4 linked regions of the Saccharomyces cerevisiae S288C genome follow. Changing the gene in region 1 together with any one later gene gives a genetic interaction. Each region holds a gene or a part of one and is shown on either strand. Other genes may lie near its edges. The genes, in order: CSF1, LAS21, BRE1 and EAF7.

Region 1 (8,196 bases):
TAGCAGAGGTATATTTCTTTTCTTTTAGCACTTCGTCGATGTTGCTTTGCCAATCATCAGGAAGGTACGTTAAAATGTGTCTCAGACGCGTAATAATTTTCCAACTACGATTCTCACGCACATGCCCTTTGGAAAGTCTCATAATAAAAGCAGGTTTTGTTATGACGTAAGGATCATGACTAATTTGATAATATTCGCTTGCGGCTGTGAGCTTTGAAATGAGTTCTGTCTTTGAATTACTTCTGGTGTTCTGAATAGAATTAAAAGAAGTGCAAACCTCTTGAATAAGATTTCCCTGGTCACTACAGTACTCAAACAGCCATTCCATTTGAGATTCGTCTATGGTAATATCTGATGACGTTAAGTTTAATGAGTTAACTTGTCTATCTTCTGTAGAAGACCATACTTCGAAACCCTCAATCCCTAGCGACAGTGCAGGGGGACGATCTTCAGACAAGTCTGGATTTTTCTTCTGGTTAACAGTCACTCTGACAGTTTTTACCTTTGCTAAAGCTGCTACTTCTAATAATTTATTTGTTCGGTTCTTCTCTAGAGACTTTTCACTCATTTGATAATCAATACGATCTAAATAGAGCTCAAAACCTTCCTCACCTGTCTCTTGCCAGATTAAATTTAGATAAGCAATATGGATATCAATGTTTGAAATAGAAGTGATCCCTTCTTGAAGGTTGCTTAATCGTTTCACAATCCCAATTTCAATATCGTCTAAGACTTGTACCATGTTTTCAGAGTAAAGCTGTTCTAATAAACTCTTAGCGAAAATAAAAAGCAACGGGTCGACATCCAACAGAATATATGAAACATCAACAACATAGTTATCCCTTTCGTGGTTTCTGTCTTCTGTAAAAGCGACAGGTTTGAAGCTTGAAGGGTCCGCTTCTTCGTCATTATCATCTTCACTGAAGCTGGCTCTTGAAGGCTCCATAGTTGATGGAGTTTCTGCGAATATGTTCTTGAATGGATTTGTGGTCTCCAGAAGGGTAGCATACTCGCCCACAATATCTTCAATGATATAATCTATAGTATCAGGCAAAGTGGGAAGAGGTAAAGTTGGGATAGACGAAGATGGTGCTATAGCCCCGTACAGGTTTTGGTATGTATCCGAATCCTGATAGAACAGCGGAAGAAGAAAAGGACACCTATGATAGGGTGAATCGTGTATTGTTATATATCTGCGTTGTTCTGATCTTTTTTTATCGATATCCTTGTATTGCTCAAAGTTTGTAAATCTTAATTTTGTTTCGAATTTGAGAAATGATGTGTCTACGCCATCGCCCATCACGCAATTTAACGAAATTGTCAATTTTGGAATTTTCACGTCTATTCTTTGTGAATATTTTTCGTTTTCAAAGTCGATCAAAGTAAACAATATCGATTCAGCACTAATAACTGATTGAGATTTCATCACCGGATCTTTAAGGCCTATTCTTATTTTTTCAACGTGCACGGTTAGCGAGGTCATATCATTAATGGTCTCAGTGTCATATAATAATATATTTTCCAAGTCATTGTAGCCAAAACCTATCTTATAAAAGGAATTAAAGAATCCCTTTATAAATTCAATATCTGAATCAATGCATAAATCTCCGAGATTGATATCCCATTGACAAAAGTAGGTAGGTTCTGTGGGTGGTAATCCATACATTCTATGTCCATGAATGGTGAGGTCCGAAAGCAATCCGTGCTCTTGCTCATCAGCTCCGTTATTACGACGTATAAAATCAAATACTTCATTTATTTGTTTTGAAACGTGCCGCTTTATTGAAGTCCCGTTGAGAACCGCCATTATGTCCATATAATAATTACAACTTCTGAAATCCACTACAAGTTCGGCAAAATGTAGTGCAATGCATGGATCAAAACTGTAAATCGTTTCTGGTAATATCAGAGCACCATCCCAAACCGAAAATGTGAACCAAATATCAGTTTCGTTGGTAGTCCTTTTCAAATCTGACCTTTTCATAGGACCTTTATCCTCAGATTCGTTCTTTAGACTGCTATTTTGGTACCCTGAATCTACAGTAGATGCCAAATCTGCCACCGAGCTTTTCGTAGTGACATCTCCGACTTCCCTAGCGCCAAGGACACCTGTGTACTCTTCTGACGTCACAAAATTAAAAAATTCACCGAAGTAATTCATCTTTACGTTTGTTAAATACCTCATGACAAACCCATAGCAGTGAAGTACTGTACTCTTGCTGTTACACTCTATGACTAGCGTATCGACATTATCAATATCTAACTCGGAATAGAGAAGGTAAGAACCTTTAATTGTAAAGTCGTATGCTCTCCCCACTTCTTTATGTTTCATGAATTCGTTCAATGTATTCCAAGGGGGGGTATTTAACATCATTCTGAACATTGGAGTTGAGATCTCGTAGGACATATCTGTGTATGTCCCCAAAATACTCTCACGGGGTACCGTGACATCAATTGAAAGCTTATCACCATGAAGGGATAAATAACAGTTTTCGTTAAAATCTAACGGATTGTTAACAATATTGTGATCATTGACGTTTAAGTAAATGGAATATCCTTCCATTTCCCAATTGACTTTGTATACGAATGGTCTAAAAAGTTCGTAAGGCGTAGGATCACCAGCGGAAAAGTCTGAAAGCGTATCTGCAACTAAAGTTATATGCTCACGTAGCAGAAACGCCTCTAATTGTTCTGACTTCATGTTAATTATCCATATAGCTTTGCTATTCCAACCCAATGGATATCCAATATCCCCATCAATATCGAATACCTTGCTTTTTAACAAAATATCGTGATTAACACTTGACCTAATTTCGGTTTCCAGGAAATGAACATGGAAATTATTCTGAAAACCTTGCACTGTAGGACAAACACTTATATTGAAATTTGCATAGGTGTCCTTACAAAATCGGAGATCCATCCATCCAAATGGCCTATATTCTTCATTAGTTTCTTTGTAGTGTTTCAAAAATTCGGGGTCTTTGCTACTTTCCCTCGTCGGTATACGCCAAGTAGTATCTTCCATTATTGATATATTCATCCTGAAAAGTGTATATATTCTTCTAGAACCTGGCGGGAGTTTTTTTATAGGTTTGGCTGTCCTTGAAACTACCGGTGATAGAACTCTTTGTAGATGACTGACTTGTCTTTGAGCCCAAGGTCCGTAACAGATGGATCCTCCGTGAATTTGAACATCTAAAGCAAAATCTGGAGGTGCTCCGTTATTGCCCACATCTGGTCCATCAATATCAGGTATTGTCGGATGTGCACCATGTGGCACAACGCCCGGAACATCCACGTCATATGCAATTGTGACCTTTGGGCATTTTAAAATTGATGTAAATTTAGCATATTCATGGTTCGTCAAATCGAACTCAACATCATCTAAATCACTTGCTTTAGCGTCGCCCGCAGAAGCCTTATAAAGAGATAAACCTTTCCATTTATGATAGAAATTGTCATCTGATGTGCCTGCGCTTTTTTTAGTCTTTTTCGGTACAACAGGCTTGGTTACTATCTGAAAGACTCGTACAAACGTTTTCCATAACTTTGACACTTTCCCTCTATCTATTTTAAACTTCAATCCAATAGCATCATCGTAACCAATATTTTGTTTGATAGAAATTTCGAAGTTTTTGAATTCCATCTGTGTTTTATTTCTGTATAAATCTAATCGCTCTTTTGGAGGTAAAACATCTATTATGCCTTTTCCACTTTCATAACTTAGAATCATAACAGATGGCGTGAATTTGTTTCCTAACAGTAGGGAACCGCGGCTAAATTTAAGCTCAATTGGTAAAAACATCAGTAGCTTTGGATGTTTGCCGATATCTGTTTCTTGGTAGTCCCTGTCATTAACAATTGATGCATCAGAGTTCGTTGTGTATGCAGATTCGCTTAGATCTTCATCTAATTTATCAGCACTACTTCCATCGCTAAAAGGTTCAGGAAAAGAATGCTCATTAAGGTATTTTTCAAATTTATCGCGTTCATCTTTTGATAGTAAGTTTATAACATTATCGTACGCCACTGTTCTGTTGTAAATAAAAATTTCTAGACCTTCACATTCTACGGAAATTTTACAGGGAAGCTTTGCTTTTTTGCCAGAAGAAGACTTGTTATTCTCTATCAATTCTGCTTTTCTGCAATTTAAAAGCCAGTATTTCCATGTTAAACTACCCTCTAATACCGAAATTGTATAATCTTTGTGTATTACGGAAAGGTTTTTAAAATGTATTCGACCACCTAGTAAGGAGACACGAAGTGTCTCAACATTTATCTTGATTTTCGCTCGTTTCCATAGTAGCCATTCTAATATAAAACTTACAAGGTATGCATAGATTCTTCCCATGTAGAATATCATTGTCAAACATACTACTACCGTGAGAATCCAATCTACTAAAAAGACCCAGCTAAAGTCCTTTTGGTGTGTCAATGGAACACCACGTAATTGTGAAATAGCTTCCATGCTTGCTAACTTATTACCGTCAATAGAAGACTTGAGTCAGGTGGCTTTAATGAGTACTATTCTTTTTTTTTTTCCAAAGAGCACTATGTTGATAATACCGCAGTAATTTTTTTTGAGTATCCTGTAGCCTAGAAAGGTTGAAGCTTATAAAACCGTGCCAACAGCTTTATAGTGGGGAGTTTGGCTTCCCTCTATTTGTATATTGATCGCCATCCCTACGAAGTTATTGGGAACGCATCGTGAACCTCTCACTTTAATGCCAGCGGTAGAAAAAAAAGTCATAAACAATACACGCCGGCTACACTTAGAAAGAAATGACATTTGCTGTCTTATAAAAGGACTTGACAGACCAAAGACGCGTATAATACACCAAGAATGGCCTTATTGGAGAAGTTGCATCGAAGGATTGTTGATATGGGGCTTGTCCCGCGTATAATCGCCTTATTACCAGTTATTTCCATGCTATGCGCTCTATTTGGGTTTATTTCTATAGCTATTCTGCCTATGGATGGACAGTACAGAAGAACATACATTTCTGAGAATGCATTGATGCCTTCACAAGCGTATAGTTACTTTAGAGAATCTGAATGGAACATTTTGAGGGGCTATCGATCTCAAATTAAAGAAATGGTAAACATGACTTCTATGGAAAGAAACAATTTGATGGGTTCTTGGTTACAAGAATTTGGTACTAAGACTGCTATTTACGAAAATGAACAATATGGAGAAACATTGTACGGTGTAATGCACGCTCCTAGGGGTGATGGAACAGAAGCGATGGTGCTTGCCGTTCCATGGTTTAATTCAGATGATGAATTCAATATTGGCGGCGCAGCTTTGGGTGTATCTTTAGCAAGATTTTTCTCACGTTGGCCAGTATGGTCCAAGAATATAATTGTTGTCTTCAGCGAAAATCCTCGTGCAGCATTAAGATCATGGGTTGAGGCATACCATACTTCCTTAGATTTGACTGGTGGTTCCATTGAAGCTGCTGTTGTGTTGGATTATTCGAGTACGGAAGATTTCTTCGAGTATGTAGAAATCTCATACGACGGTCTGAATGGTGAGCTGCCCAATTTGGATCTTGTCAACATCGCTATATCCATTACGGAACATGAAGGTATGAAAGTTTCTTTGCACGGTCTACCCAGTGATCAGTTAACTAATAATAATTTCTGGTCAAGATTAAAAATATTATGCCTGGGAATAAGGGATTGGGCGTTGTCCGGTGTTAAAAAGCCCCATGGTAACGAGGCATTTAGCGGCTGGAGGATTCAATCTGTAACATTGAAAGCACATGGAAACAGTGGTCATGATATTACTACATTTGGACGTATACCCGAAGCAATGTTTCGCTCTATTAATAACCTTTTGGAAAAATTTCACCAATCGTTCTTCTTTTATTTGTTATTAGCACCACGTCAGTTCGTATCCATTAGTAGTTATTTGCCAAGCGCTGTGGCTTTATCTATAGCATTCGCCATAAGTTCATTAAATGCATTTATAAACAATGCTTATGCAAATATATCCTTATTTTCCGAGTATAATTTGGTAGCGTTGTTGGTTTGGTTCGTGTCATTGGTGATATCATTTGTTGTTTCACAAGCGTTTCTTCTAATACCTTCATCGGGATTATTGATGACAATTAGCATGGCATCTTGTTTTTTACCTTTGATACTTTCCAGAAAAATTCACATCTCAGAACCACTATCATACAGGTTGAAAAATGTTGCTTTTTTATATTTCAGTTTGGTTTCAACATCTTTGCTAATGATAAACTTTGCAATGGCTTTACTGATCGGCACATTGGCATTTCCTATGACATTTGTGAAGACCATTGTTGAAAGTTCTAGCGAACATGAGGTGACAACTCAATCCTCTAACCCAATAAAAACTGAGCCGAAAGATGAGATAGAGCTCGTCGAGAATCACATGGATACAACGCCAGCAACCCCCCAACAACAGAAACAAAAACTAAAAAATTTAGTACTATTAATTTTGACAAATCCATTTATTTCAATAACCTTATTCGGACTATTTTTTGATGATGAATTTCATGGATTTGATATAATAAACAAACTGGTTTCAGCATGGTTGGATTTGAAATGTTGGAGTTGGTTTGTACTTTGTATAGGTTGGCTTCCATGTTGGCTATTGATATTAGCGTCATCGTTTGAATCTAAATCTGTCGTAGTAAGGTCGAAAGAAAAGCAAAGTTAGGTGCCATTGGTAAGAAGTAAAGGATTAACGGGTGTTCGAACTACGCAATTGATTTTATACGCACAAACATTACAAATCGAAGCAAAAGAAGATGAAATGATATGATATACTGATACAAATATGTATTAAATAAAACATAAGTATTGATGGAAACATGGCATAGAGAAGCGAAGATGCGATAATATCAAATAACTATATGTGAGTTGTGGAAGAAAGAAACGATCACATTATTATAATAAACTAGCTATTTAAATGTTTATTGAAGACTGTTCTGCCCCCTTTTATTCAGTCACGGTATTGGTCAAAAAATTCTTTATGGAAACTTTCCCATTTCTTAATCCATTCCAGACCAGGTGCCAAAAATGTTGTTCTTAAATGGTAAGTACCAGGTTCTTGACCAAACCCAGAACCGGGAACAGTGCAAATGCCAGTAGATTCTAACAACTTCTTACAATAAAATTCATCCGGAGTTAACTCTAAGTGGCGAGCTTCTTGAACTGCCTTGAAAGGTAAGTCTATCTTAGGGAATAAATACATGGCACCTTGAGGCTTTTGACATTCAATGCCTTCTAAAGAGTTAAATGTCTCATACAGTGTCATTGCTCTTGTAATTAACTTTTCATGGATGGAGTTACGTTCTGCTTGGTCCGACTCGAATGATTCCTCCCCTTCCACTGGTGGACGAACCATCAAATCAACCAAAGCTTGACCTGTGACAACGGGACACAATGAAATCGAGGCTAGTTTCAAGATAACTTGTCTCATCTCATGGCTGAATCCAGTGAGTTCCATGTAGCCACCCCTTTGACCACATTCACCAGAAACACCCTTAGAAGTCGAATGCAAAGAAGCTAGCTGAACATTATCGAATTTACCTGGATGTTCCCTCTGTAAATGTCTCAAAATTTTCTTCATAGAATGGAACTTGGTGCCCGGGAAGATATTTTCTTGATAAACTTCGTCAGCTATCACTACTGTACCGTACTTGGCTGCGACTTCAAAAATCTGAGCTATAGACTCAGGTGATAGGACAGCTCCTGTAGGATTACCTGGATTGATAACCACTAGAACTGTAGGTTTGATTTCGTTCTGTATAGCCTCTTTGACGACAGTTTCAATTTCTTCTGGATTAGTTGACCAACCTGAATTCTCATCTAAATAGTATGGTAAAGCTTGAGAATTGTTCAAAGCTAGAGTAGCGGTATATAATGGATATTGAGGAATTGGAATCAAGACACCCGTTTCTGGCCCTCTACAGAAAATTGATAACAAGTAATTGACAGCTGCGGATGCACCAGCAGTTAGGAAAATATCCTCTGGGTATGATATCTCGCCTTCGTCCCTCTTCGTTATAAATTCAGCGACACTTTTCCTTATACCTTCTACACCTTGAGAAGAAGAGTAAGCACCAACAGAACCACCGATATCTTCCATTAAACTCTTTGCACGTTTAATGGCATCTAGTTTAAACAATTTCGAATCAACTAGCTGCTGTTCGTTTTGGTTTA
Region 2 (8,545 bases), on another chromosome or scaffold:
TGTTGTTGTTGCTGCTGCTGTTGCCTATGTAGGGACTCATGTGTCAGCACCTGGACGAAGAATTCTGTAGCAAACGCTGTGGCTACGAATGCGTCATCCGAAGTGTCCATATATTCTGGATCATTCTTGGCTATTCTCTGCACTTTTTCTACAGGTAACTTGGGCGAACACAGAGGTGCAGACGCCGTTTCTTTACCACTAGTCTCGTTGTTCATTGTGTTAGCCTGATCACATCGAGCGAGCTATCCTGACGCTATTCTCTCTTGTTTCTTCTGTTTTGTTTCTCTTACATTTTTCATTTTTTTCTCTAGTTGGAAAAAAAAAAAAACACTATATTAGAATACGCACATTGTTAGCGCTGTTCTTTCAATTGTCATCTATATATTTACAAGGGAATACACAAAATCCTGGTTTTTTTAAGGTCTGGGAACCATGACATAGGAGGAGGGTTTCTTCGTCTTCTTTGGCAATGACGAAGAGTAGACCTCCTTCAAAAGTGCCTGCGTCCTTTCGTTTTCGAGTGCCTCATCATAGGGAAGGGACATTTCCTTGAGTAAGACCTGCTTGATGAGCATAATTTCACCATGTAGCTGCGCTTCTGCTTTAAACTTGGCCACTTTGTGAAGATTCTGCAATGTGAGTGGGTTATGAGGTAGCTGGTTGGCGTCATCGTTGATGACTGACTTGACTAACAGCCACATCTTTAAATTGCCCCTGTTCACCGTATGCGATTCGGACATCACGGGAGAGTCGACTAGTTCCAAGACGGATTGCGGCGCTGAGTCGTTAGCCCTAGGCTCTAACCGCAGCACACGCGTGTACCCACCGGGCCTTTCCAAGTACCGCGGTGCGATCTCGCTGAACAACCGCTTCATCAACTTTCTGTTGTCTCCTGCTAAAAACAATTGGCTCTGAATTTGGGACTTTAATTCCGCCTGTGCAACACTATTACTTGTCGTTATTGCCCTCTTTGTCCAGGTAATGATCCGCTCTGCGACCCTGGAAGCCTCTTTACATTTGGCATGCGTTGACACTATAGATTCATGCTGAAACAACTGGCACGCAAGGTTTTTTAGCAGCGCATCCCTATGCGCCTTGTCCCTAGAGAGTTTCCTAGCAATACCCACTGTCATTGTTGCGCTCGACTGTGCTTCTCACCGTTTTTTCTCCTTGGCGTAGCCAAATCTCTTGACCGTTATAAGCTGTTTTAGCTTGTCAAATCCCACTTGTTCTTGTTAACCAACTTTTCCCGCCTCGTACGCGGTGACAGACAAAGCAGTGATTTTTGCTCATTGTATAAAGGGAGTCTTTACTATGGTGGCATAAGCAACAATACTACGTGAGCAGCAACGAAAGCACATATATAGACGACAAAGTAGTATGGTTTTGAATCCGTCCAAGTACCAAGACACCCGCACGTGGAAGATGACGCCTGCCATGATCAGGGCCCGTAAACCCTTTTTCAAAGGCAATATGCTCGGTCTCACGCTGCTGCTGGGTGTCACGGGCTCTGTTTACTACTACACATATCATTTTCTGCACAAGGACAACGACTTTGCAGACGTGCCCATTCCACCCATCGATCCGCAGGAGCTCGAGGCTCTCAAAAAGGAGTACGAAGCCAAGAAGAAGGCATGAAAAGACCGTTAATGTGGAGGTACGCTGTGGTCTTCCATCAATAGGCTTTGCGCTGTTCTTCTCTCCTCTTTTGTAAATAGTTTACCTACTTGCGTATATGTATATATATATATATATAGATATGCTTATACGGATATATACATACATTCTGTTTGTTTATACTCTTTGTCCTACTCTAACAGCCAGCTCTTTAGTTTAAGAATATGATGAAAAACTCAGTTTGGGAAAAAAAAGGAAAATGTTAAAGTATAAACAATATCGAAATAAGTTCATCTACCACGCACACTTCACCAAGTTAGCAAGATGAACTTGAAGCAGTTCACGTGCCTATCATGCGCTCAATTACTCGCTATTCTGCTCTTTATCTTTGCTTTTTTCCCTAGAAAAATCGTGCTGACAGGTATATCAAAGCAAGATCCGGATCAAGACCGTGATCTCCAGCGCGATAGGCCCTTCCAGAAATTGGTGTTTGTGATCATTGATGCTCTCAGATCAGACTTTCTTTTTGATTCGCAGATTTCCCACTTCAACAACGTGCACCAATGGCTCAATACGGGCGAAGCATGGGGTTACACGTCATTTGCTAATCCGCCTACCGTGACGCTGCCTAGACTCAAAAGTATTACTACGGGATCTACACCTAGCTTCATTGACTTGCTGCTGAATGTAGCCCAGGACATAGATTCCAACGATCTTTCGGAGCACGATTCCTGGCTGCAGCAGTTCATCCAACATAATAACACGATTCGTTTCATGGGCGATGACACCTGGCTGAAACTGTTCCCACAGCAATGGTTTGACTTCGCTGACCCGACACACTCGTTCTTTGTCAGTGATTTCACTCAAGTCGATAATAATGTGACGAGGAACTTGCCCGGGAAATTATTTCAGGAATGGGCCCAGTGGGACGTGGCTATCCTGCATTACTTGGGTCTTGACCATATCGGGCATAAAGATGGCCCGCATTCAAAGTTTATGGCTGCTAAACATCAAGAAATGGACAGCATTCTGAAGTCAATATATGATGAAGTGTTGGAACATGAAGATGACGATGATACACTGATTTGTGTTCTTGGCGACCATGGAATGAACGAACTGGGCAACCATGGTGGCTCTTCAGCCGGCGAAACATCAGCAGGATTGTTGTTTTTGTCACCTAAGCTGGCGCAATTTGCTAGGCCAGAATCGCAAGTAAACTACACATTGCCCATCAACGCTAGTCCGGACTGGAATTTCCAGTATTTAGAGACTGTTCAACAAATTGATATCGTCCCCACCATAGCAGCACTGTTTGGTATGCCAATCCCCATGAACAGTGTTGGGATAATAATACCTGACTTTTTACAACTGTTGCCCAATAAGTTGGCAAGTATGAAAGAAAATTTTATGCATTTGTGGAAATTATCAGACCATCACGGCGAGGTTGCTCTTGACGATTTCACTGCCGAAGATATTTATACAAAGATGTACACTATTCAAGAAACGTTAACCAAGTCTGCAACAAATTATAATTATCCTCTTTTGACACTGGCTTTTGTTGGTTTCCTCATAATAACAATCATCGCCATTTATGTATTATTACGTTATTCTGGGCCTGATTTTTGGCAGTTGCGCGTTTCTTCCCTGTCTGTTCTGTTAGTTTCCATTATACTAGGCGTTTCCACATTTGCAAGTAGTTTCATTGAAGAGGAGCACCAACTGTGGTGGTGGATAGTAACTGCATTCTCGGCGGTCCCTCTGTTCGTATACCGATTGAATGTGCTCATAATCGTGCGCTGGTTTATAATGATGGCATGCGTACGCTCAATCAAGTTTTGGAATAACAGTGGCCAGAAATTCATTTATTCTAACGTTATGTCCAATCTACTTAATCAGAATCCTTCCTGGAAGTGGTGCTTAAATATGTTGACATTTCTAGTGCTGATAATGGCATCTGCTGGTTTTCAAGTACTACATTTTATTGTCACTACTATTTTGGTGGGGTTGTGTTTCACGTACAAAATCTCGTGGGAAATCGTCAATGGTAACCAGGCAGAAATACCGCTCTTTATGCATGATTTACTGGCTAAGATAGACTTTGCACCAACTGAAAGTAACTTGATTGTACTTGCGCGCGTTTTCTTCCAAGCTTGGGCTATTGTTGTCATTTCAAGGTTGGTCCTGACGAAATTGAAAGTACTTAACAAGAACTACCTCATTAAAGATATGAAAGTTTATATAACAATTCTTTTGATGTTCCAAACTTCTTCTCAGAACATAGGTCAATTTCTCGTTTTCCAAATATTAGAGTCCCAAATTTTTTACTTTTTCCAAAATATTCCAACCGCCTCATTAACATCAACAAGTAAGATTTATTTTTCGAATTTGGTGTCCTTAATTTTACAAAATTTTACATTTTTCCAATTCGGTGGCACAAATTCCATTTCTACTATAGACCTTGGAAACGCATACCATGGTGTTTCCTCAGACTACAACATCTACGTAGTGGGGATATTAATGTCCGTTGCCAATTTCGCGCCGGCAATATACTGGTCCATGCTACCGTGGTCAATAAACTACGCCTCTATTCCAGCACAAGTTAAGTTGCAAACGTTCATCAGAAGTAAGTTACCTGCCTTCACCTATCATTGTATATTTGGAACTTGTTTGATGACGGCATGCGTCGTTTTGAGATTTCATCTCTTTATTTGGTCCGTTTTCAGTCCAAAATTATGTTATTTTCTTGGGTGGAATTTTGTGATGGGATTGCTGAATGGCTGGTTACCTGAATTGGCCCTCCTTTGCGCTCTTGATTAACATAGAATTGTTCACGTGGTCTAAATATGTATACATATATGATAGTTTATAGATTCATACTGAGACAAGTGAAAAAAAAAAAATCTACTATCGACCTTCTCTCTTTTCGCGGCAGCAAAAATGAAAAATTAACTTCAATAAAAAAGTTGAATACTTTCAAATATTCTAATTGCATTTAATATTTAAGCAACAAAAGGACAGCGATAATTGAGTGGTGGCTTAATTCTATACTCCAAAGTATGTCCCAATCTAGTAGGTTAAGTGCACTTCCTATTTTCCAAGCATCGCTTTCGGCAAGCCAATCTCCACGTTACATTTTTAGTTCTCAGAATGGCACAAGGATTGTTTTCATTCAAGATAACATAATAAGGTGGTACAATGTACTCACTGATTCACTTTACCACAGTTTGAACTTTAGTCGTCATCTCGTCTTGGATGATACCTTCCATGTAATATCTAGTACGTCTGGTGACCTACTCTGTCTTTTCAATGACAACGAGATTTTTGTAATGGAAGTTCCTTGGGGCTATTCCAACGTTGAAGACGTTTCCATTCAAGATGCATTCCAAATTTTCCACTATTCAATTGATGAAGAAGAAGTTGGTCCGAAATCGTCCATTAAGAAAGTTTTGTTTCATCCAAAGAGTTATCGTGATTCTTGTATAGTGGTTTTGAAAGAGGATGACACTATCACGATGTTTGACATCCTTAATTCGCAAGAAAAGCCTATCGTTTTGAACAAACCGAACAACTCCTTTGGTTTAGATGCACGTGTTAACGACATCACAGATTTAGAATTCAGTAAGGACGGATTGACGTTATATTGTCTAAACACCACAGAAGGCGGTGATATCTTTGCATTTTATCCATTTTTACCGTCAGTATTACTGTTAAATGAGAAAGATCTCAACTTGATCCTAAACAAATCTTTAGTAATGTACGAGTCCCTGGATTCTACAACAGATGTTATAGTTAAAAGGAATGTTATTAAGCAGTTACAGTTTGTGTCAAAACTGCATGAAAATTGGAATTCAAGATTTGGCAAAGTCGACATACAAAAGGAATATCGTTTAGCCAAGGTTCAAGGACCATTCACGATAAACCCCTTTCCCGGCGAGCTGTATGACTATACTGCTACAAATATTGCAACCATACTAATTGATAATGGGCAAAATGAAATTGTTTGTGTCAGTTTTGATGATGGGTCTTTAATCTTACTCTTCAAAGATTTGGAAATGTCAATGTCGTGGGATGTTGACAATTACGTGTATAATAATTCTTTGGTTCTAATTGAACGAGTCAAACTACAAAGAGAAATTAAGTCTCTAATAACGTTACCTGAACAGTTGGGAAAACTTTATGTCATTTCCGATAATATTATACAACAAGTAAATTTTATGAGCTGGGCTTCTACATTGAGTAAATGTATCAACGAATCGGATTTGAATCCACTTGCAGGATTGAAATTTGAAAGTAAACTTGAGGATATTGCCACCATAGAAAGAATTCCAAACCTAGCGTATATCAACTGGAATGACCAATCTAATTTAGCCTTGATGTCGAATAAAACATTGACTTTTCAAAATATTTCAAGCGATATGAAACCGCAAAGCACCGCAGCTGAAACAAGTATCAGTACAGAAAAAAGTGACACGGTAGGAGATGGTTTTAAAATGAGTTTCACACAGCCCATAAATGAGATTCTTATTTTGAACGATAATTTTCAAAAAGCCTGTATTAGTCCATGTGAACGAATTATCCCATCAGCAGACCGCCAGATACCTTTAAAAAACGAAGCTAGTGAAAATCAGTTGGAAATTTTCACGGATATTTCCAAAGAATTTTTGCAAAGAATTGTTAAAGCTCAAACTTTGGGTGTTTCTATCCACAATAGAATTCATGAGCAACAGTTCGAATTGACGCGCCAACTACAATCGACATGCAAAATAATTTCAAAGGATGATGATTTAAGGAGAAAATTCGAAGCACAAAATAAGAAATGGGATGCACAACTAAGCAGACAGTCAGAATTAATGGAGAGATTTAGTAAATTGAGCAAGAAGCTATCTCAAATCGCCGAATCCAATAAATTTAAAGAAAAGAAAATAAGCCATGGTGAGATGAAATGGTTCAAAGAGATACGAAACCAAATATTGCAATTCAACAGCTTTGTTCACTCTCAAAAATCCCTTCAACAAGATTTATCGTACTTGAAGAGTGAACTAACTCGTATCGAGGCAGAAACTATCAAAGTCGATAAAAAGAGCCAAAACGAATGGGATGAGCTACGCAAAATGCTTGAAATAGATTCAAAGATAATTAAAGAATGCAATGAAGAATTGTTACAAGTTTCTCAGGAATTTACTACTAAAACTCAATGAGTAAGCGACTTGCATAGTCTGCTATCATATATGTACGCTAAGAAACAACTGGGCAATGGTATAATATCATGTAGCAAGAGGACATTATATATGAATTGGTCAATATATAAAGCCTTCTGTGCACCAAATCGTTAGGATGATTTTTCAGTATGCTGTATCATTGTATCGTATATTCATTCGTATCTCTTTTACCTCACTAACCGCTGCCAAAATTTACATGTATACAAAATAAAAGTCTTTTTTATGACCTTATTTGGTGAGTAATGCTACTTTTGTAAAGAGTGATGGAAACTATTATTCCAAAGGGTTAGAAGAAGGTGAGGAATACGTTCATATCACCGCTACAGATCGTGTCTCTCGGTTATGAGTAATCAAACCCTCTGCAAGCAACACAGTTACTTTTTTTCGGTTTTTTCTTTTCGTGTGAATTTTTATCCAGTGAGTTTCCTTGTTCACTTTCGAGAATGGAAGGCTGATTTCGAATTTTTATATTCAACAACTGTATTTGTATTAGGCTTTGCAATAGTAGATGAAAAGTGCAGAAGACGAATCTGCTACCCTCACAATACAAAGAAAAACAAAATCGTCATTTTAATATAGGAAGACACCGCTCAGGTAATTCAATATTGAATCTGGTTGCACTTTTCTTACGATGTAAATACCCACAAACTTCTTGTACGGTGAGCGTCTGACAACGAAATCAATTTACGGAGCAAGGATTTTGACAGTAGAGCAGATTGTTTTGAGTAGGATTTAGGAATCAAGACCTCCATCTTTGTCGCATTATTCCTAAATGTAACGTAACTCGTTTGATAAGAGAATGTCTAATCGAAGAGAGTTAATAACTTAATAAGCTCTTTAAAAGAACGATGGCATTTATCGTCTCCTATGCCAAGATAATTACTGGCTCAAAATTGTTCAGCGTTCATAAAACTTTGATATCACTTTCTGGCGCACAAGCTAACCTTTATGTAGTTCTTACGTAGATTCTTTTTAGCAAGTGCCTGGTAGTGGTTATTACATAAATGTATCTTTTCATTTGATAACAATTTCTTCAGTAGCATGTCGTGTCTAGCACGTGACGTAGAACTGTGGCTTTTTTGTTGTCATTATGACAATCAAGATACCAAAATTCAGTCATGTTTAAAAGGGGAAGGTACGATAGAGATATATATAAAGTGTTCAATTTACTATAATTGCGTATAGAATCCATTGTTACTTGCTCTCAATGAAACAACGATTCATTCGTCAATTTACGAACCTAATGTCTACTTCGAGACCGAAAGTTGTTGCCAACAAATATTTCACTTCTAACACTGCCAAAGATGTTTGGTCGCTAACCAATGAAGCCGCTGCAAAAGCTGCCAATAACTCCAAAAACCAAGGCCGTGAACTTATTAATTTAGGCCAAGGCTTTTTTTCATATTCCCCTCCTCAATTCGCCATTAAGGAGGCTCAGAAAGCCCTAGACATTCCAATGGTCAATCAATATTCTCCAACTAGAGGTCGACCTTCATTAATTAATTCCTTGATTAAGTTGTATTCTCCTATTTATAACACAGAATTGAAAGCGGAAAATGTTACCGTAACAACAGGTGCCAATGAAGGTATACTTTCTTGCTTGATGGGGCTTTTGAACGCTGGCGACGAGGTTATTGTTTTTGAACCTTTCTTTGACCAATATATTCCAAATATCGAACTTTGCGGTGGTAAAGTTGTTTACGTCCCCA
Region 3 (7,979 bases), on another chromosome or scaffold:
TGTGAACTTACATTAGGCAGGTCGTAGGCCGAATTTCTGCCGTTTTGGTAATGCATATACTGCTCTGGAAAAGAATGGGTGTTGCTTTCTTGTCCCTCCTCTTGCTTATTTTTTGTTCTCGCCGAATTTAGTAGTGTTTCCTGTAGTTTATATATCTGGGATTGAGTCTCTCTGTACGCCCTATTAGGATCTTGTTCGCTTACCGACATTTTTATCTTATATTGTATTGTTACTTCTCTCAAAAAAAAAACTGCGAGTAAATTTTCCCTTACCTTCGTACTAAAATACCGTTATTTGTCAAAACGCTGTCATGGAATTCTATAGCACTTGATGCCGGAATGGAGATGCTTATTCTTGTGTTCTACATTCATGAAGTGCTGATACTATATTTTGTTTTCCCGAACCTCTCCCCTTCTGGGCCCTTTTTCCATTATTCACAATATTTTCATACCTTTACCTCCGTACACCAATCTTTATTTTTACCCCCATACCTTTGTATTCTGAAATTGAGAAATGATTTGTGGTGCTTTTTTTTTTGGACAATCTGCCTTCGTGGACAGTTTTGAAACGCTAGGCGACAGTTTTGCAACGGAAGGAAGTGGGAGAGCCCAGAAAGGCTTTCTCTCGATGGTGGATCATTCTTGCGCAGGCGGAGGATGGGAAAGCTCCGTTCAGGTTTGCGGCTTTTCTTTCTGGCATTTTCGTTCTCCCAACTGCGCAGGCAGACATAGCTTGACTTTACTCATGCTCGCATTAGGCGGGTTGAATCTCATAGCTTGAAAGATAGTATTGAATTATATTGAAGATTTTATAACTAGTGATAATTTCATTCAAGTTTTAAAGAAAGAATTAATAAGCAAACAGAACTCAATCAAAGGAAAAATGGCCGGTTTGAAAGACGTTGTCACTCGTGAATACACCATTAACTTGCACAAAAGAGTATGTGAAAGAATAAAAATATAATGCCCAAGGGCTTGTCATCTGAATGGTTAATTAAGAAGATATTTCTATAGTCAAGGAATACAATATCAAGAATTTGTACCACAGAAACCTATCAACAAAGATCATTGATCAAGATATATTTTATAATACGGAATTTGAAGACCATAATCAATATTATAACATCCAAGAGGGGAAAGATACACTTCGGCTGGACTTAAAGAGCGATGAAGACAGAAATAGTTATCTTAAATAGTGGAATCCTAGATTTTAAGTCGACAATTATCCATATCCCAAGTTTGACTAAATATGAATCAGAACAAATTGGGTCTCCAATATACAAAACCATTCATCAAGATTACACTAATATTAAAATGAACAATCGTTACTAACAAAAAATTTACCATTTTATTTTTAATAGTTGCACGGTGTCTCCTTCAAGAAGAGAGCTCCAAGAGCTGTCAAGGAAATTAAGAAGTTCGCCAAGTTACACATGGGTACTGATGATGTCCGTCTAGCTCCAGAATTGAACCAAGCTATCTGGAAGAGAGGTGTCAAGGGTGTTGAATACAGATTAAGATTGAGAATTTCCAGAAAGAGAAACGAAGAAGAAGACGCCAAGAACCCATTGTTCTCCTACGTTGAACCTGTCTTAGTTGCTTCTGCCAAGGGTCTACAAACTGTTGTTGTCGAAGAAGATGCTTAAATCAATTAAATAAAAATAATACTCATTTTATATTAATAAATATAAAGTAAACATTTTCGATTTGTATAAATCTCTTGTACTCAAGCCAAGACTTCTGTATTCATTGAAGCGGGGCACTCAGATCAATTTTTATCAATGATATCATCTGCTACGCTTGTACAAAGGGTTACCTTCGAATTATTTAAAAGATGCAAGTCTACGTATAAGTGAAGGCGATAAAAATGGATAAATCAGTGTAACTATGACTATAAGGTTATGTTGGCCACTCATCACATTAAAAGACTCCCAATATTCTCCAACAGAAACGAAGTATACCGTGCGTCTGATTATGGTCCACCAGAACGATGAGATCATAAAGACACAAAGTAAATGAGAAGTTTTACAATATTGAAAAAATACTGTAAAAGGATGGTCTTAAAAAGTAGTTTTGAAGTACTTCTGTTCTTAATAGACCAACGGAAAATTAAAATCTTCATCATTAAAAGTCCATAATTCATTCGCTTTCAGCAAAACATAGAGCAGCAAGAAGCTAAAGAAATGACAAGAACTATCGGCAGAGTGAACTCACTATACCATTAATCTTATCACCCGTTTATAAATCTATTCTTGTCCTTTCCAGTTGATATGATTCTGCTATTATCCTTGTTCCCCCCAAGGACTGCAGTAGAAGAGTTATGTTACAAATGTTGATATATATATATATATATATATATATATATGTATGGACATTTGTGATGAAAATATATCTTGAACAAGCGCGATTAAGGTCATAATAAAAAATCACAGAAAATTTTTCAGGTCGCGGGCGTTCTCTCACCCGGCCGCCCAAAGTATTATATGAATCTTTAGGGCTTGTAGGAATTATCAGCATGATATGTACAATTAGAGTTTTTCTTTGGAAACATGCGACAGTAGACGTCACTCTTTGATTCAGAAGTTAGGCTAGGATGTACGCAAATAAAATAAAAGCAATGACAAAACTAGATTTACATATATTATATGTATATGTATGTGGAGGATATAACACAAACAGTGGAAAAGTGGTAGAATAATTAGTATTACAAGTGCACTGTCAATAAATCATTGGAACTGAATGCTTTGTTGCATGTAGGGCATTTTCTCATTCTCGCTGCCAATCGTTCCTTACAGCAATTCTCACAAAAGACATGGCCACAGGTTTTAATAGCCATGTTTTTCCAATTTTTAGAACACAGGGAACAATAAACAAGTGTACGGAAATTTGCTAGTTCTTCTACGAGTGCTTCATCGCTCGAGCCCTTATTTTTGTTGTTACCACGGAACAATGTATCATGTAGTTTTTCACACTTGGATTCTAGATGAGATGCCTTCTGCTTGAAGTGCTTCAATTCTATTTCTGTATCATTTAATTTAGTTTCTAGATGCGTCATATCTGCAATGCTTTTGTTACTTTCTTCTTGTAGCTTTTCTAATGACCTTTTCAGTTTAGTGGATGTATTATTTAAATCAATTATTTTTAGTGTCTCTGTTTTACTGGAATCAATTAACCTGCGTTCATTATTTTGAGAAAGATCCAGTTGTTTATGTAAATTTCCTATTTTTTGCTGTAGCAATCTATCAGAGTCCTTTAACTGTAGAATAAGCTCATTTGATTTACTGAGGCTTTTAGAAAGAGTTTTGATTTCAATTAAAATTGAATCTTTGGACCTCATCGCGGCAAAATATTTCTGATCAGCCTTAGTTTTTTCTACGGTAAGCTTGGATATAACAGATTCGTGATTAATAATCTCAGAGTACTTTTTATGAGTTAAGTCGGATAACTCTCTAAAACCCTTCTCTAAGTCTTGAATTTCCTTTATTAATGCATCTTGAGTCGACGAGGATTTTGTATCGTTTGATCTTTGATCAATTTTTGTCCATTGCTCCTTCAAAATATCAATTGCATGTTGTAAATCGCTCAACACTTCAGTCTTGGATTTTTCAGCTTCCAAAATGGCGATTTTGCTTAGTAAATCATCACGAGCCGTTCTTATTCTTACAACGTCCTTTTCCAATGAACTGTTCATTTCTACTAGGGAGTCGAGACTTTTCTGGAATTCTTCTCGGACCTTCTTCGTATATATTTCTTTCTCTTTGGCTAAAACTTGAAATTTTGATAAAAAGGAACTATTGATCTCAGATAATTCTGCGTTTTGTTCAGTCAAATGTTGAATTTTTGCTAACAGGGACTCATGGTCATATGACTTGAAATCTGGGTCTTGGTCTGCTGCTGCTATCTGTTGCTTTTTTAAATTGGATACCTCAGAACGTGTTTTGATGAGCTCTTCCTCGTTTTCCCTTCTGATATTTTCAAGGTCTTTTATAGTGGAACTCAAGGAGTTTATCTCTGCCCGTAAATCAGAAAATTTCAGATCCAATTCTAATTTTTCATTCTCAGCATCTTCTTTTCGTTCATCCTCCGCCTGCACAAGTTCATCACCTTTCTCGGATTTTTTGGATGTATTATCACCATTAATTGCAGAGGAGTCTTTATTTCCAGATTTTATATTGTTTTCATTAGATTCTTTTTCATCTTCCCGTAATTCCTTTACAGCATCAGTCTTATCTTCCTTAAAAACACGTTTTATAGTAAAGGATTCATCTCTATCATACTTGCGAATTATATTTGTATAATATTCCTTCAAAGCAGAAATCTCCTCTGTCAATTGCGAATTTTCATAAAAGAGCTCCTCTTTACTTTTCCGCAAGTTTTTTAACTCCGTTGTTAATTCTTGAATATGATCCGAAGCATTACTATTAGTATTACTATCTGTCGTGTTTGGCTTCCCATATTTAGTCAGTAGCTTCATGAAAGAATCACTGCGCTGAACTATCAACGTCTCATCGCCTTGGGCTATTTCCCTACATAGTTGCTTCTCGTTGGCGTCTGTGCAGAATGTTTCGATAAACCTAGCTAAAGTTACTATCAGCGCCATAATATTTGCCAACTTGCGGGAAACATCTATGCACTCCCTTCTTGAAAGTTCATATTGCTTTCGCAAGGCTTCAAAGTCGACTCTTCGACGATTTATACATCTAAACAAAGCTTCTTTTTGAAACGCTATCACATCAGATTGAGTAAGCGGTTCACTAGGATCGCTTAATTCTAGCTTGATCTTCTTAGTAGCAGGCTCGGCCGTCATATCTGATTATTATCAGCTAGCACGATTAGCATAAAAACGGTGAAAGCCCTTTCTATCTCTGTTAAAAACCTTGGGGCGCTCTCTGTTAGTTTACCGTTCAAACAACATCCATCCAACTTTTTTTAATCTTCTTCTTTTTTGTTTTTTCGCCTTCTTTAAGAAAGTTTCGTTGGATGTGATTATAATCACGTGATCAAATGCTTTTGTCACTTTTATATAATAACGATGGTTTGATCAAAGTACGATCAGTTGGTGCTTCATTTCAAAGTTAGAAGACATCCTTAGTGCCTATTGTCGATCTGCTCTTTCTTTTTGAATCCACTGAAATTAACGATCTCAGAATTTCACCAGTGATTTTCCCAATATTATCTTTCGTGGGTAGAGAAACAATTCTGAACTCGATTGTGCTTCGTATGCTATATACGCATTGTTGTAGCACTAAAGATCATATTGCTCATTAAGCATGGGTCCTGCCATACATAATCAACTATATGAATGTGGATTAAAGACTACGTCTCAAGATGGCTTCTTGATGGACAATTATGAAACTCAATTATTTCAATCGTTGAACAGGTTTATCAATTTCATAAACAATGCTAATCAGTCAGCTAGTAATAAAGAACAAAATACAAAATTTTGCAAATCCTCCTCAAATTTTTTACGCTTGAAACTACTAACGGTTCTAAGACAATGGTGTGATTCTTCACGAAGCAACTGTACACTGGAGGTTAGAGATGTTTTGACCCAATGGTGGGTCACACTTTTAAACTTTCTAAATTCTGACACCTCGCTTCAAATAGATACTGCCCTTGAATTGAGCTTGAGCATAGAACTAACTTCCGTGTGTCTCGAGTGCCTCAGCAAAATTATGACCATACTAATAATATTGCCTTTCCATTCATCCAGAGACATGGAAATATACTCACATCATCTTTTGCTGACCATTCATTGCATAACAAACAAGTTGATTTTGATTTCTAAAAACTCCAAAAAACTTAAACGTACAAATAGTGATGACAAGTGCTCTATAAACGACAAGAAGCTGCAATACCTTAACAAATATTCTTCCTTGCTGCGAGCATTCATCGGGAAGTTAAATGCTTACGCATTTTTTTATCTACCAGAAGACTTTCATTTCGATACAATTTTGTTATTGACAGTTTCTCCTCAAATCTCTTCAAGTATTCAAACATCTTTGTTTTCATGGAAGAAGAGACAATATAAATTCACCGACGATCAGGGACAAATGATCCGCACTGAAGCTTTTGAAAATAAAGATACTAAATTTTTTAAGATCATTGTTTCTTATATTAAAAATGATTTTGTACTTATGTCATTTTATTGGCACTATTGGTATATCATACTTCAATTTATGAAATTCTCTGATTCAGATGTAGGAATTAAAAAATCGACATTGTCATGCATACCTGGCTCAGAAATTTTATTGACGCATGTAACCACTAGATTCTTGAATTCAGATTTGAATAAATTCACGCGGATTATTAAACAAACGCCGAATCCAAGGATAGCAAATGAGAATGTGACAGAGTCACATCCAAATTTCAAGAGTTTGAATAGTAGCAATGCTTTAATTACATCTGAAAGGATTAATGATTACGTATTTTCTAATTTTAAGACAATCAAATTATGGGAATGTCTTAGAAGCCTTTCAGGATGCATTCTTAAAGAAAATCATCCGGAATACCTGGAAAATATGCTTTCCTTACATGAGTCTCTATTGATAGACTATGTCTCCACTATTTCAGCGTACGATTATATTGCAGCGAACGTCATTTACAATAAGGTTCTCCAGTTTATTATTTTCCAGTTTGAAAGTTTACCTTCTCTGAAATTCATTCAATGGAGGTCGTGGTACAATGGGCTTTTGAGTATGTTAAGGACCAAAAATGTTAACTGCCAGACTGTTTCTTTATTATGCCTTTTCAATATTTGGAAGCACGTAACCATTGAGGACCGCGATGAAATAGTAAAAGTGCTGTTAAGTGATTTTTGGGAGTCATTGATTTTTGAAAACGAATTTCCTTTGATTAGAATTTTATTTATGAAGGTATTAGTTTTTAAAATCATTCCAAGTGTTCAAAATTCTTCTTCATTACGATTCTTGCCACATGATAGAATTAAACAACTATATGAAGAGCTACTGGTAAACAAGGAGGAGTTATTTGAGATGCAAAAACACGATTCAAATGATATAGTGGCGCATAGAAAGAATGCTCTCGTTTTTAATGGTAACTCACGTTTGATGATGATTCCAAAAAAACCAAATACAGAGGACCACTTAGTTTATAAGATTAATCATGATAAAAATTTAACTACAGAAAGATTTCCCTCTGTCAGCTCAGTGGCAAATACAAGACCTAACGTTATCTTGAAAAATGGTAAATACGCTTATGATATTTTGGACGAAATGACAAGTAAAGCTGCCTTTCTTCTTGCAGAAAAGAAGACCCGACTAAATCCCAAAAAAAATCACAAAATTATGGATGGCTACGAAGGAGGTCAGGAAAACGAAGATAATGATGAAGACTCAGAAGATAGTGGCTCGCATAAAAATAAGAGAAAGGAAGGTAATAGTTCTTTATCGGCAACACTGAACACTTGGCTTTCAAAATTTTCAAGTACTTCTGAAGATTCACAGAAGAAGAAGGAACAGGCAAATGAATTAGGCAACGATTTTGAATATGATGAAGATGTGGCTGATTTTGCAGAAATTTTGCCGAAGCAGTCATCTAGTAATATTGAAAAAATTTTTAAGCATGGTAACAATTCAGGATCAATGGTATCATATAATTCAAGTATCAAGCTCAATAGGAGGGAGAATATATTGATAGGTCCACCAGAGTTGAGATTTTCTAATGAAATCAAGGAACACAATAGTATTGCTACAATATTCAAACTGGTATTTATTCAAACCAATAGAAGAGTCGTCGAAAAAATAGATTTGGCGAACATGAAATGGGGGACAATCCACGGAGGCAGTAAGTACATGAAGCCTTTACCCGTCCCGAAAGATTTGGTTGCGAGTGTTGCTAAGAACGAAAGTGAGACGAGAAACTTAGCTACCTTATGCGGTAATGGTCTAGATTTTGAGATACCGGTGCCTGATTTTAATATTTTTGGCAAATGTATGGAAGATGAGCAAGATGTAGCCA
Region 4 (6,894 bases), on another chromosome or scaffold:
GCTTTTGGTTCATCACCTTCCAATTCAGATAATTTAATCGGATCATGATATTTTAAATTTTTGGCCCATTTGGGGTCGAACGTTAGTGAACCATCAGAAATATCACTCATCCTAGTTTTGAAGTGGTCTGTTATATTTTTCGTCCATAGTTTCACGCTTTCCGCTATGATTCTTTTTCCAGATCTTAAAGCGGATTTGGCTCCATCAGATAATTCTTTTTTTGTGGTTTCGTTAGGATTCATCATTTCTGTAGCCAGTGAAATCAACTCGTCAGGCTGACATTTAGAAATGATTTCTCTTCTAATTTCACCGGATTTGAAAAACTCTTGATAAGCGTTATTTAGACTTTCTAACAACTGAGAGTCCTGGATCTCAGGGAGACCCTGTTTGAGTTCATCTATCGACAAGGGCTCATTATTCGACTTACCTATTTCCTTCTCTACATTTAAAAGCTTTCTCAAGATACCTTCCTGTGTGCATCCCTTTAATGCGTTATATTGCTGTGACTCCAGATTCTTATTATATTGCCTCAAAAATTCTTGAAACTGAAGTTTCTTTGGGTTAGAATCCGACATCTTTTCAAAATTTTCCAACTTCTTCTCCCAAACTTCCTTTGGCTCCGTTTTCGCTTCCTTAACATACTTGTTCCATAAAACTATTTGAGTCTTATCGATCTTTAGCGCTTCTTGGAAACTTGGTTTCTTGGCACCGAGAGCTTCCAGCACTTTGTCCGGTTTGACACTGAACATATCTCCAGGCTTTAAAGTATAGCTTGGATGCTTAATTTTTACACCATTAACGCGAACATTTCCATGCAAGATGAACTGACGAGCTTGTCTTACTGACGAAGCAAACATAGCCCTGAAAAGGGCAAAATCAAGCCTTTTTTCTAATACTGCAAAAGTTTGTAATAAAAATGGTGTTTCCTTGATTTCACCTCCACGCAGTGAAGCATCCAATTGTGCTACTGAATCCAATTTGGGTTTGAAAACGGTTTGCCATCTCTTTTCTGTCAAATGTTCACCATGATAAGCTCGGGTTTCCTGCTTTGCCGTCCACTTCTGTTGATACAAAGATTTAGACTTCAAGTCTACACCACCCTTTTTGTACAAATTAAACAAATTATACTTATTGAAAGAAGTGCGTACTCGTCCTCTTGCCAAAGATTTTAGCAAATTAGCCTTTCTTGGCATTATCTCTGTATTTTAATTGTAACCAGTCTTCCGTACCAAAAAAGTATAAAGGAGCTCCTACTCGATATATATTCGAATTAGTTGCACTTCCTCTGGGGAAACCTTCACCTTTTTGACCGTTCGCTCTCTCTTTTTGTATATCTTCAGCATAGTTCCTTAACTAATACTGCGAAGCGAAACGTATCCGGCTGCCACCATGAAAAGTAAAATCGTGCTTAACGAAGAAATCAATCATATAATCTATGAAGATGGATTGGCGGAGTTTATTAGAAGTTGCTAGCTGCTAGTGAAGAAAAGGGAATCGTGGATGTGATGGTAGTACATTGGACAATTGTGGATGAAATACGACTTCTTAGATGGGCATCTGAATTCAAACCGGCCGGAATTCATAAGCATTTCCACATGTTTTGCATAGTGGAAAGAATGAATTCGCCAGATAAGTATCCAGTGACGCTATTACAGAAAGAAACCATGAAGTTGGGGAAGGTATTTACTGCAAAAGACATATGGGATAAGTTGAGCCAATCTTACAATTTAGAGAAAATTGATGAAATGGAGAATACATATTCCTTGGAAGCCACTACAGAGAGTTCACGGAATGGCAATGGAAATGGTGACGATGCAGAAATTCATGAAGAAACTTTACTTGAATTGAATAATCGAATAAGAGTACGCAAGCAAGATTTTACATTACCTTGGGAGGAATACGGTGAGTTGATCTTAGAAAATGCAAGAAAAAGTCCAAACTCTAACGAAGAGTATCCTCGAGTTGAAGATATGAATGAGAAAGATAGTACAATTCCAAAGGAAAGTCCTTCTACAGACCTAAAGAACGACAACAATAAACAGGAAAAAAATGCGACAATTAAAGTGAAAGAGTTGCCTGAATATCATACAGAGGAAAATGATAGCCCCATAGACGTCCAGAAAGAACCCATTAAGGAGGTGCAAAGCGATGAAAAGGAACTCCAGAGGGAACATATGAGTGAAGAAGAACAGAAAATGAAAAGTACAAATAAAACAGCAGCTCCAGTAAGAAAATCTCAAAGGTTGAAAAGAAGTAAGGAAGTTAAATTTGAAGATGAAGAAAAGGAAGAGATAGAAGAAGATAATACGAAAGACGAAGAACAGAAAGAAAAGAAAGAGGAGATCCAGGAGCCAAAAATAACCCACAATGAAGAAGTAGATAAGGAAAAAAACGAAAACGAAGAAGGTGATGATGAGCGTGAAAAATCCACCTCTTATGAAAATACCAATGGCTCTGAAAGCGAAGGAGTTGACGAAGGAGTTGACGAAGAACTGGGATACGAGTCTGAACGTGAGGCAGAAGGTAAAGGAAAACAAATTGAATCAGAAGGGGGCAACTTAAAGAAAAAAACGGAAAACAAAAAAGGAGATGATCAACAGGATGATACCAAAAAGGATTCTAAGGACAAAAATGAACCATTAGCAAAGAGAACTAGGCATTCATCATCCACAGGTAATACTAGCAATGAAACCTCGCCGAAAAGGAAAAGGCGGAAGGCAGGCTCTCGTAAAAATAGCCCTCCTGCCACAAGAGTTTCCAGCAGGCTACGAAATAAAAAATAATCACTGCTCATATATAGATCGCGATAATAAACGCTCATCCGTTCCATAGAGGTATCTGTATTTAATGTAGTGTAGCAGATATAGAATAAAATAACCTTAATGAAGAAATAGAATATACGTATGCTTCTCCTTGTCTAATCTTTTGTAATTATATATCTATTTCAATTAAGGCTCAGATACTTACCATAAACATAAATAAAAAGCAGAAAGGCGGCTCAATTGATAGTACTTTGCTTTTAGTTGACCTTCAACAATTCGACGTCGAAAACCAAAGTACTGTTTGGTGGAATCAAACCTGGGAAACCACGTGGGCCATAAGCATATGGGCCAGGGATGGTTAACCTAGCTTTTTCACCAACAGACAACTTTGGAATACCAACATCCCAACCCTTGATGACTTGGCCGACACCGATGTTACATTGGAATGGAGAGCCCCTGTCAACGGAGGAATCGAATTTTTGGCCGTTCTCCAAGGTACCGGTGTAATGAATGGTAACCAAGTCACCTGTCTTTGGGAAGGTGGCACCATCACCTGGGGAAATTCTGTCAATTTTGACGTTACCTTCAATTACTTCAGACATTATTACTTGTTTTGATTGATTTTTTGCTTATACTCGAGTTTAGGTGAAAGGCCTTACTTTAAGCTTTCACGAGTTTATCCACCAAATTCTTTCAACGACGTCTCTCTTCCGGCAATTTTTTTTGCCCGAAAAAGACTAAGGCGGGTGAGGGGAATTGAACGGCACTATAATGTGGAGGTAAACAGAATGATCAAGCGCTATATACATAAGTAGCTATAGATTATTTATTTCAAGACGGCAACCAACTTTTCGCCAGAATTCCTCCCGTGCTTAATATCATCAAGTAACTGTGGGATATCATCTAACCCGTTCTTGTAAACTTTCACTGGGATGTGGTGGATTTCACCATCATTGATTTTTGGATTGATGAACTTAATAAATTTTATGGCGGCTTCCTTGTATTCAGGGTCTGCTGGCAAAGTAAACGTGCCAAATGGGACGTCGTTACCTCCTATCAAATATAGAAGGGTTCCTTCAATACTGACGTTTTGCCTCCTGTCTTCCTCCTTGATATCTTTTTCGGTTAAAACGGTCAATTGAACGACCGTAGCGTCTAAGTCATCAGCGGCACATTTGTACACCTGTTGAATAGTTTCTGTGTTGGAGACACAGTCCACCAAGTAAGGAATGTTGTTGTACTTCTTTTTTATCTGTTCGATAACGTCAGCATCGTGGTAGTCAAAAAGTTCATCTGCACCGTACTCTTTCAACAATTTTTCATGTTTACGAGAAGCAACGACGATGATCTTGCTGAAACCGTTTAGTTTTTTTGCCAATTGAATAAGCATCTGGCCAACAGCAGTGGCACCACCCCAAAATAAGATGGGTTGATCTCTTTGCGCTTTGGAGGGCTTCCATGTCATGTCCAAGCCAAAACTATGTGTAAGGATCATACCAGCCGTGGTCAATGAGACTGGGAGGGATACTGCCCCTTCTAAAGATTTTACGGGGCCTTCTGGTAGCTTGTCTTTACCGCACAATCTAAACTCTCTGGCTGGTTTATAAGCAGTCTCGGATGAAATGGCAGAGTACTCAGCAAAGGCACCGTTTGAGGGGAACCTCACTGAAGCACCGTGAATAACCCCATAAATGTAATCACCAATGGCAAAGCGTGCAGCATCAACATTTGGGCCCAACTTTACGATTTGGCCGGCTGCATCACAGCCTAAGAGGGCACCTTGAGGACCAATCTTGAAATCAATATGTTTCCAATCGGTAGGGTTACCGGCAACGGCGACAGTCTTAATTAGAACAAATCCTTCTTCTAATTCAGGAATTGGAATGTCCTGTTTGACTACAGCCTTGCCATTTTCAATGACAACGGCTTTCATGGTTTCTGGAATCGAGGCGGACATGCTTGATATGCAGTATGATATTGCTTTTTGCTGTGTATAGTTAACGATTTTTTTTCAACTAGAATTACAGTACTAATCAAGAAGTGAGAGGAAGAAAACGGCAAAAAAAAAACTCTCTCCTTTTAAATCGAAGCATTGCCGAAATACCTTAAAAACGGTCTTAAATCCTTAACATCTGTCCTTACTAATCGATGCCAATCCAACGGAGGGAGCCCATATGCTAGGTACTAAGAGTACGCAGGGGCGGAACCGCGCGACAACCGTAAGCGGATCCGAGGAACTTTAGTCAGCAGGGGCTGTGATGACCATTAAAAAATTGCGGACACAGGTAGTGGAACGAGCAATCAATGTGATCAATTTGCCATTTCATTCCACGAAATGGTTTCCATTCTAAGCATGAATGCTTTGACGTTACGGGTGTTGGTTATTTCGGTTCTTTTTATTGCTTCCGTGGGCACGTACGAGAAGGGAAGATGAATAGAAAAAGAGTTTCCGAGTTTTGTATGTCCAATGTTTACATAATTTATATAACTTGAAGTTTAATCTTGGCATAAAGCTCTAGTTGTGACGAAGTGTGTAGGCCATCACATCAGTTCTCCAGTTTTCTACCCAATTTTTTTATGGATACCTTGATTTTTGGTTTAGGGCTGGATGTCTTTACGCCCTTTATTTGTGTTTTACTGCCCAAACTAGTGCCGGTCTCTAAATATTTTTCTGTATTAGTAGTAGAATCGTTCTCCATTAGTAATGCTTTTTTTTTCTTTTCAAAATTGATTGCCTTGACGTCTAAGTAGTTATTCAGTTCTTTTTCCTTTTTTAGCAACTCATTCTTGCTCTTCTGGTAAAATTCCAGGTCCTCTTTACTCAACCTAGTAAAACTTTCACGGTCTCTCACCAAACCGTTATATTGTTTTTGTTTACTAATAGCATTAGACCTAAGCTGATCTCGCAGGGACTTCCTGGTTTTCCTTTTATATTCCGCTTCATATTTTTTTTGCTCCACTTGCTCTCGTATCCTCTGGGCCTCTACATTACCAACTCCTTCTGACACGAATTTCAGTGGTTTTTTCTCTCTTGCACTATTAGCATTATTATCACTGGTAGATGACATGATGATATAACAGAGCCCACAGTCTTTTGTTGGAACCGCTTTCTCTAGGCTTCGATGGACTTACATCTAATTGCACATTCTCGTGCGTTTAAACGTCATTTTTCCCTCAGATTGGCAGTGCATCAAAAGTAATTCCTAGGGACGACAAAAAGGCGGAAAAGGTTTCAGAAAAATAAGCGGACTTAGCTCAGTTGGGAGAGCGCCAGACTGAAGAAAAACTTCGGTCAAGTCATCTGGAGGTCCTGTGTTCGATCCACAGAGTTCGCAATTTGAAAAATTTTTTTTAATGATTACGCATGTGGATGTGTTCAGTATCAACCGATGCTCGCTTTTCCAATCAAATGATACAAGCCAGACCGAACATTGCATGTTTTCCATTGTAACTTCCCAGGTATATCTGAATTAGTTGTAAAAAGTAATAGTTTACCCGGAATCGTGTGAAAAATTTTGAAAAAAAAAAATGAAGAGCCAAGATACAATGAGATGAGATGAGGTGCTGAAGATGCATGGAGATTCTGTATTTATCTCAAATAAAGTACGCAATAGAGTATATAAGCCAAGTCACCTTTTATATTTCTTAGTTTTTAACTTGCAAAGACTTATAAGAGACTTATAAAACAAGGAGAAAATGGCCAAAAAAGCTATCGATTCAAGAATCCCGTCACTGATCAGGAATGGTGTTCAAACCAAACAAAGGTCCATATTTGTCATCGTTGGGGACAGGGCACGTAACCAGCTCCCAAATTTACATTATTTGATGATGAGTGCTGACCTTAAGATGAACAAGTCCGTCTTATGGGCTTATAAGAAGAAGCTTCTAGGATTCACTTCGCACAGAAAAAAAAGAGAGAATAAAATTAAGAAAGAAATTAAAAGAGGTACAAGGGAAGTGAATGAAATGGACCCTTTTGAATCTTTTATCTCTAACCAAAATATCAGATATGTATACTACAAAGAGAGTGAGAAAATATTGGGTAATACCTATGGTATGTGTATTCTTCAGGACTTCGAGGCATTAACCCCAAATCTTTTAGCAAGAACCATTGAAACTGTAGAAGGTGGTG

Evidence for each region.
Region 2: mutations in CSF1 (region 1) and LAS21 together harm fitness more than expected from each alone (negative genetic interaction), as found in Saccharomyces cerevisiae (5 studies listed by BioGRID, with this or other methods).
Region 3: mutations in CSF1 (region 1) and BRE1 together harm fitness more than expected from each alone (negative genetic interaction), as found in Saccharomyces cerevisiae (6 studies listed by BioGRID, with this or other methods).
Region 4: mutations in CSF1 (region 1) and EAF7 together harm fitness more than expected from each alone (negative genetic interaction), as found in Saccharomyces cerevisiae (8 studies listed by BioGRID, with this or other methods).

The regions. Positions count from the first base shown.
Region 1 is NC_001144.5:311,264-319,459, forward strand, and holds the start of CSF1 (Csf1p), read right to left. Parts: upstream 4,469-8,196; coding exon 1-4,468. Other genes in the region: GPI-anchor transamidase subunit GAA1, read left to right, coding at 4,844-6,688; alanine transaminase ALT1, read right to left, coding at 6,974-8,196. UniProt on the Saccharomyces cerevisiae protein: Tube-forming lipid transport protein which provides phosphatidylethanolamine for glycosylphosphatidylinositol (GPI) anchor synthesis in the endoplasmic reticulum. Required for the glucose and other nutrients uptake at low temperature.
Region 2 is NC_001142.9:315,343-323,887, forward strand, and holds LAS21 (mannose-ethanolamine phosphotransferase LAS21), read left to right. Parts: upstream 1-1,941; coding exon 1,942-4,434; downstream 4,435-8,545. Other genes in the region: DLS1 (Dls1p), read right to left, coding at 1-215; mitochondrial 54S ribosomal protein bL17m MRPL8, read right to left, coding at 417-1,133; COA3 (Coa3p), read left to right, coding at 1,381-1,638; linker nucleoporin NUP82, read left to right, coding at 4,674-6,815; BNA3 (kynurenine--oxoglutarate transaminase), read left to right, coding at 8,044-8,545. UniProt on the Saccharomyces cerevisiae protein: Ethanolamine phosphate transferase involved in glycosylphosphatidylinositol-anchor biosynthesis. Transfers ethanolamine phosphate to the GPI second mannose.
Region 3 is NC_001136.10:321,344-329,322, forward strand, and holds BRE1 (E3 ubiquitin-protein ligase BRE1), read right to left. Parts: upstream 4,807-7,979; coding exon 2,704-4,806; downstream 1-2,703. Other genes in the region: RXT3 (Rxt3p), read right to left, coding at 1-209; 60S ribosomal protein eL31 RPL31A, read left to right, coding at 883-939, 1,361-1,645; AHK1 (Ahk1p), read left to right, coding at 5,270-7,979. UniProt on the Saccharomyces cerevisiae protein: E3 ubiquitin-protein ligase that mediates monoubiquitination of histone H2B to form H2BK123ub1 in association with the E2 enzyme RAD6/UBC2.
Region 4 is NC_001146.8:368,863-375,756, forward strand, and holds EAF7 (Eaf7p), read left to right. Parts: upstream 1-1,505; coding exon 1,506-2,783; downstream 2,784-6,894. Other genes in the region: mitochondrial 37S ribosomal protein uS4m NAM9, read right to left, coding at 1-1,193; peptidylprolyl isomerase FPR1, read right to left, coding at 3,020-3,364; YNL134C (uncharacterized protein), read right to left, coding at 3,589-4,719; FYV6 (Fyv6p), read right to left, coding at 5,309-5,830; ribosome biosynthesis protein KRE33, read left to right, coding at 6,459-6,894. UniProt on the Saccharomyces cerevisiae protein: Component of the NuA4 histone acetyltransferase complex which is involved in transcriptional activation of selected genes principally by acetylation of nucleosomal histone H4 and H2A. The NuA4 complex is also involved in DNA repair.